2 linked regions of the Yarrowia lipolytica genome follow. The protein of the gene in region 1 binds, or shares a complex with, the protein of each later gene. Links are inferred from orthologs where the notes say so. Each region holds a gene or a part of one and is shown in the gene's direction. Other genes may lie near its edges. The genes, in order: YALI1_E05709g and YALI1_B25593g.

What was found.
Region 2: the proteins of YALI1_E05709g (region 1) and YALI1_B25593g are in contact, whole or in part, in a crystal structure (PDB 2VDU), measured with the Saccharomyces cerevisiae proteins. The link is inferred for Yarrowia lipolytica from reciprocal best matches to the Saccharomyces cerevisiae genes TRM82 and TRM8. Residues at the interface, in NP_010449.1 of Saccharomyces cerevisiae: Asp172, Glu189, Leu192, Gly193, His194, Val195, Ser196, Asp208, His210, Asp219, Glu220, His221, Lys223, His226, Gln229, Cys230, Phe231, Ile232, Val233, Asp234, Lys235, Trp236, Phe238, Gly239, Lys241; in NP_010080.1 of Saccharomyces cerevisiae: Tyr69, Val71, Ser72, Pro73, Met163, Lys164, Phe165, Pro167, Asn168, Lys172, Asn199, Thr200, Leu201, Ser203, Glu204, Tyr207, His235, Pro236, Leu237, Thr282, Pro283, Ile285, Leu286.

Annotation. Positions count from the first base shown.
Region 1 is NC_090774.1:569,240-572,766, forward strand, and holds YALI1_E05709g (uncharacterized protein), read left to right. Parts: upstream 1-1,728; coding exon 1,729-2,880; downstream 2,881-3,527. Other genes in the region: YALI1_E05701g (uncharacterized protein), read right to left, coding at 80-945, 1,106-1,142. UniProt on the Saccharomyces cerevisiae protein: Required for the formation of N(7)-methylguanine at position 46 (m7G46) in tRNA, a modification required to maintain stability of tRNAs; its absence resulting in tRNA decay.
Region 2 is NC_090771.1:2,557,754-2,561,428, reverse strand, and holds YALI1_B25593g (uncharacterized protein), read left to right. Parts: upstream 1-2,143; coding exon 2,144-3,022; downstream 3,023-3,675. Other genes in the region: YALI1_B25603g (uncharacterized protein), read right to left, coding at 1-1,119. UniProt on the Saccharomyces cerevisiae protein: Methyltransferase that catalyzes the formation of N(7)-methylguanine at position 46 (m7G46) in tRNA, a modification required to maintain stability of tRNAs; its absence resulting in tRNA decay.

The DNA of each region.
Region 1 (3,527 bases):
AAGTGTTGTGTGTATCATTGTGGTTCTCATTGTATGCACTTCATTAAATTACTGATTCATCGAACTATTTACATGGAACCTACAGAGAGGTTCCCTCCAAAAAATGCTTTGCCCAGTTGGGCAGCACAAATGATGCCTCGTGGATTTCCTTGTTATAGTATCTGACCAGACTGGACTCTTCCTCTTGAGTCCACTGTCGCTTGGGGATCTTGAGATTGGTCGGCTTCTTACTGCAGACCATCAGACCCAGCTGGCCAGAGGTGTAAGTGGGCAACAGAGCAGCGCAGTATTCCACAGATGCGAAAACACCCTTGCAGATGTCACGGAGTTGCTTGACAAACTTGAAGTTGAGCCAGACGTTCTCCGAAGACTGGGTGATAACAATACCGTCATCATTGAGGGCGGTGTGCAAAAGCTGAAAATACTCGCGCTGGAAGAACTTTTCAGCAGGGCCATCGGGGTCCGAAGAGTCAGTGATGATGACGTCGTACTTCTCATCACTCCGGGCAACTTCTCGGATGAACTCGAAACCGTCTCTGATATGAACTGTGACCTTGGTGTTATCGAAACCTACGGCCATGTTGGGGAGATACTTCTTGGAGAGCTCGATGACGCTCTCGTCAATCTCACACAAATGTGCAGCCTCCACAGACTCATGCTTAACGATTTCTCTGAGAACTCCACCATCTCCGCCTCCAATAACCAGCACTCTCTTGGGACACTCATGCGACATCATGGCTACATGGCAAATCATCTCCTGGTACGCAAACTCATCTCGCTCAGACACCTGTACCACTCCATCCAGAACCAGCACATTTCCGTACTCCGTGGATCGAAACACAAGAACATCCTGGAACTCGCTCTGCGAAACATGCAAAATTTCCTCGACCTTCAGCATCAGGCCCTGGCCTGGAAAAGAGTCGGAAACTTCAGTGAACCAAGAGTCTGTGTTAGTATTGATCAGATGCGCAACCAGAGAGCCTACGGTGGTTTCTGACACTCATTCAGCCGTGGTACTTCACTCTGAGTCAGGTCTGATCTGTAGGCCTCATCTTGAGGCACTTCGGTATTGCGCCCACGAACCCCCTCCAACGCAAATACTCACTCTTAATACTGGCGTGTTCTAGTTGCTTGACCGTCATGATTTCTGCGTGCAAGGAACCGTCAGGAGTCTCAGAATGGGGATATAGAAAATAATTTAGGTCCAGAAAAGAGTGCAGTGAAGTTGCATGAAAACTCAACTGTATATCCATGAGGCATGTTCCAGGCAGGTCAACCCGCCATGTCCACCTTGTGAGAGGATAACAGAGCCTTTCTGATATTTTTGATAGAGAAAGCACTTAAGTTAGAATAATGATCCGGCAACGATCTCTTTGTACTCGCACGAACAATTTTTACATCCAGTCCTGGACACATCTTCCATACAAGATTTTTCTCTCGGCAATTTTTTGCGCCGCACTAAAAGTCAGATAGAGATGATAACAATTAGAGTTGCCACGTGACCAAAAGGGGTGATTTTTGATCCTGACAATTACTCATCTTGCTCATTAGAACCAGCCCTTGTACCATTTTTCCGTCGTCCTAACACCTGTGGCTCACTAATGTGGTGCTATTTCCAATCCCAAGTCGGATTACGTAATTCATGCAGGATGCCAAAATTTATCTGAATCTTAATCGGAATGATTTATTCACACAACTGAGGCCCTAACGAGTGTTCAAAGTCGCCCAATGAAGCATCCTTATCACATCGTGTCTCTTTCTCCTGACGGAAAGACCATGTACGCCGCTGCTGCGCGACAGGTGGATCGAATCTGCCTCGAGACCGGCGAGTGCAAGTCCACTGTCGTTGAGGAGTCTGCCACTCGAACAACCACCAAAACCGGAGATAAGCCTGCTGCTGCCAAACGAACCAAGTACCTGCCTACGTCTGTGTCTCATGTCAGATCTCTGCAACTTTCCAAGGGCGGAAAGTATCTGCTGGCCACCACAGACGAGACCAAGTCTCTTGTTCTGCTTGATCCCACAACCCTTGAAGTGATCAAGAAGGTGCAATACCCCAAGAGACCCAGCGCTGTCGCTACTGACAAGGAGGATCTGAACATTGTTCTTGGCGACAAGTTCGGAGACGTGTACGGAGAGTCTGTGGAGGATCTGCTCAAGGTGGAGGGAGAACTCAAAGACGAGCCTGTGCTGGGCCATGTCTCCATGCTCACAGCTCTGGAGCTGGGCTACGACTCCAAGGATCGACCTTACGTCATTTCTGCCGACCGAGACGAGCACATTCGAATCAGTCGGTTCCCCGCTTCCCACGTCATTGAGCAGTTCTGCTTTGGCCACCAGCAGTTTGTCTCCAGCCTGTTGATCAACGATCTCGATGCCTCCATTCTCTTCTCTGCCGGTGGAGATGACGAGATCTTTGTGTGGGACTGGCTCAATGGCAAGCAGCTGCAGAAGCTGTCTCTGCGAGAGCACGTCGAGAGCTACCTTAACGAGGCCCACATTTATGTCGACAAGAAGGGCGTTGCTACCACCCACAAGGAGATCACAGTGTCTTCTCTGCAGCAGATCAAGGACACTCCTTACCTGCTCGTCAACGTCGAGAGCACCAACGCTATTATTGTGCTCAAGATTGTCGACAACAAGCTGGAGGTTGCCTCTGTCTTCGCCACTGAGGCTCATGTCATTTCTTTCAGCGTGGCTGGCAACCTCCTGGTGACCTCTGAAGTTGGCTCTGAGGGAGTCAAGGCATACACCATCACCGACGGAGTCGTGACCAAGAGTGACAAGGAGATTCCCTTTGGCTCTTGCGAGTACGAGGACGATTCCGAGCTCATTTCTCTCTTCAGCACCAAGTCGTTGCGAAAGCGAGGAGAGTTCTAAGTGGTTTGTTTCTTGACGGGGTTCTAACAATGGAGGGAGGTGTTACTTGCAAAGAGTAGCCAGCATATGTACAACAATGCCTCGAGGAGGTTTAAAAGTAACTATTGAATACATGATAGATTTTTATTGATTGAACAGACGTATCCTAGTGTACTTGTGACAGACCACACACTTGGAGGGCTGGCCCCATCAACTAATTTCTCCTCTATTTTTAGTTTAAGTTCACAAGGTTGGATTTTTTTTCGGGGAGTGTCTCAGGTGGCTTCAGCGCATACTGTATCGAGAGAAGAACACCCACGTCACGTTTCGTTTCGTGGTTAGGTTGCCCAGCTAAATGAAAAATAGGCCGATCATCATCCTTCCACGTGATATCTGAGCTGTGTAGGAGCTCAAGTTGACTGTTTTTTTTTTTGCTTTTGCCACCCCAGAACGAATACGAATACCTAAATACACGTGCCCTCAGCGCAAGTGGACTCACCACATCGTCGTGGGCTACAGTTCAAGGGCACCATCTACGGCTCTCTCCACACGTCGTTCTTTTTTCCTTAGCCTTTTTTGCAGTGCGCGTGTCCCAAACCCCAGCTCTACACACCAGCACAAACAAAGTTAAGCTCAGGGTTGTCGTTGAGGTCGCTTACTGTAGTCAG
Region 2 (3,675 bases), on another chromosome or scaffold:
GGCGTCCCAGGGCAGCTGGGAAACGTACTCCTTGGCCCCCTCAACGAGAGCGCCAAACTTCTTGGTTCGCTCCTTGTTGACGACAGCCACAAGACCCTCCCATTCGCCTCGCACACCAGCGGGGTCTCGGTAGGTCTCGATGAAACCAATGTTGGTCTCAACAGCCGGACCCAGGTCCTTGACCCAGAACTTCTGGGACTCTCGGTGAGCAGCCATGGAGCCAGTCTTGAAGGAGTCAACGTAGGCGGCGATCATCTGCTCCTGAACGTGATTGGCAGCGTTCTTTCCAGCAGCAGCCATCTCCTCGGAGATCTGGGCAAACTCGTTCTTGGAGTCTCCGTAGGCCAGCTTGAGGGTTCCAACATCGGGAATCTCGTAGGAGGGATCGAACTGGGTATCCTGGGCGATGCCGGTATCAGCCGAGGCGATTCGCAGCTCAAATTGCTTGGGGCCAGTCTTCCACACCCGGGTGTTTTCGGGGTAGATGGTCTTAGAGGCGCAGAAGTCGTTGATCTTTGTGATTTCGTCTTCAGTGATGTCGCCGCCGTAGTACGCGGTCACGTGGCCCTTGTCCAGGAAGCCCAGCAGGGTCTTGTCGGTGGAGTAGATGGCGTCGGCCACCTTGTCGAAGTTGGCGGTCTGGTCGGCGGTGGCAGCAATGGTGGCGAACTTGGCACGTTCCAGTCGAGGAACAAACTTGGCATCTCCAAAGGACTTGAAGTTTCCGAGGTTGGACAGGAACTGGGACGAGTACTCCAGGAAGGATCGAACGTCTTCCTTGGACACTGACTCCGACTCGAGCTTGGAGTAGTCCTGATTGACAGCCTCAGCGATGGCCAGAATCAGGTTGTAGATGTCCTCGGACTCGGGCGAAACCTGTCTGAGTACAACTCTGGTTCCGAGATGTGAGGCTCGAGAGAAGTGGTGGGCGTACTTCTTCTCAGTGTCGGACAGAGCATCAAAGTGATCCTTGATAGCGAGCTGGATGTGGGGTGCTTTGGTGTCGTTGAGAGACATATTTGTAGAGGATGAGGTAGAGAGAAGACGGTTGAAAGTGGTCAGGTGCTTTTGTACTTGTCCTAGACGATGGGGCACGGCACTACTCAAGCGGCGAAGCATAGTGCGAGAGGAAGTTTAAGTTGCAGTGGGGTTGTGGTGGCTGTAAGGACTACAATACTTGTGCTGTACATGAGCATTGTGAGGTCTGGGAGGTGGAAGAGATAAGTAAAGGAAAGGTGGGTTTAGGGCAATTAATTGGGTATATATAGACAACGATGGACGTACCACAAGGCCAGTGTGATGAGTGGGATACTCTCTCTATCCATCCCGTTCTCCCATTTCTATCACTCGAGACACAACCTTATATCCCAATCCATTAATGTGGACGTATCACGACTCTATGAATCGCGAAGTACCGTACAAGTAGACGGCACAGGCCTGACATGCATGAAGAGATGCCGTGCGTGAATCATCGTGTAGAGTAATGCTTGGGGTTAGCGGACCAACCAGATTTCCTGAATGAATGGGCACGTGTATCTGTAGCTTCGTGGGGTTATTCTGTCCGTCACACTTTCAATCTGTTTCACCTTGTACTGGGACCTGTCCAAATTTGTTGTAAAAGTATTATCGGTACATTACGTGACGTGACGTGTCGTCCTGTTGAGGCCAAAGCATTTTGAGGCAAACAAACACAACACCACCACTGTAAATACCTCGAAGAGGCTTACAATAAGGCTTGAAGAACATTTAATATCCGCGGGCTTAACAGGGAAAAGAAATCAATCTTGCAAGCAACAACGGCTTCCTTTTTTTAAACCGTTTTGCTATGATTGGCTTCTTCGCCCACTCGCCTCTCAAATTAGCTCTGTCTCACTCGACGTCTGTCGGAATCCGAAGGCTCACCACGATTAAGTTATCATTAGTGAAAAAAATTTGATTACTAAGTCATAATCTGACAAGAGTGAACAACAGTCAAGGGGTGATGGAAATCAGCTCCATGACGCAAACTTTAGAGGAGCCGCTGTCTTTTATTCTTTTCTACCACCCCCTCACCTATTCTCCTACCGTTCCTCCTCACCTCTATCACATCCTTCATGCAGAATTTTAATCAGGCTTAATTTTTTTTTGGACCCCAAATCACACAATGTTGAAACGAGATCAGAGCGAAATGGACATTGAGGCGGAGACTGCTAACATGGGAAAGGAGGAGAAGGAATCCTTTGTGCACAAGCGACAAAAGTACCGACAAGAGCAGGAGGAGAAGCGACTGGCAGCCAAGAAGGGAGTATCCTTCGAGCAGCCCGAGGACGGCGAGATCAAGCTCCCCAAGAAGCGATACTACAGACAGCGAGCTCATTCGAATCCCTTCTCTGACCATCAGCTGGAGTATCCCGAGTCGCCCGCCGACATGGACTGGGACGTACTTTACCCCAACCGAAAGGAAGGCCAGAAGGTCGAGGTGGCAGACATTGGATGTGGATTCGGAGGCTTGCTGGTTGCTCTCTCCCCCCAGCTGCCCAACCAGCTGATCCTGGGAATGGAGATCCGAGTGCAGGTTACTAACTACGTGGAGGACCGAATTGTGGCTCTTCGACACCAGAACAAGGAGACCGACGGCTATCAGAACATCAGTGTTCTGCGAGGCAACGCTATGAAGTTCCTGCCCAACTTCTTCGAAAAAGGCCAGCTGTCCAAGATCTTCTTCTGCTTCCCCGATCCTCACTTCAAGCAGCGAAAACACAAGGCTCGAATCGTCACCACCACCCTGTGCTCCGAGTACGCCTATGTTGTGCGACCTGGAGGAATCGTCTACACCATCACCGACGTTAAGGATCTGCACGAGTGGATGGTCAAGCATTTGGCCGCTCACCCTCTATTTGAGCGACTGACCAAGGAGGAGGAGGACGCTGATCCTTGTGTGGCCACCATGCTGGTCGAGACCGAGGAGGGCAAGAAGGTGGCCCGAAACGAGGGAGATAAGTTTGTTGCATGCTTCCGACGAAAGGAGAACCCTGAGTGGTAAGGAAGCGGAAGTGACCTGCGGCAACTACTGGCCAAAAATGGACAAGGATGTATGTACTTTTACAGAACAACATCCTATGTAGATCATGATGTGGAGACCCATAGGCGAGGAGGAAAAGGATATGTAAGATAGATTGATTATTGTGTTTAATGAAGGGTGTATACAGTATAGACACTCTTTACTGTACATAGACCGTGCCAGATGTAGTCATACACAAGTATTCGTAGTTCCTCAAAGTAATGCGGCTTAGTAAGGTCAAAAACATACTGCTGTCAACAAAAGCATTATCTGGGACAAAAAGAAACTGGGCCCAACCGGGAATTGAACCCGGGACCTCTCGCAAATTGCCTAGGACACCCTAAGCGAGAATTATACCACTAAACCATCGGGCCAGCTTTTCTGCCTTTGTTAGGGAGAGATCTCCTTAGTCAGGGTCGTCGGATTACATAATAATGACTCATTAGAATAAAAATAAATAATGAATGATTTATTGAACGCCAATAACCCGGCTTGTTAGGTATATAGTTGTAATGAATCATTAGAATAAAATAGAAAACAGTCAACGTCACGTGATCTAAAATGACTCCCGCAAGTGAACACAAAAGTGTGCAAGTTGGCAAAAACAAATGATCTGCAAGGTCCCATATGCGATG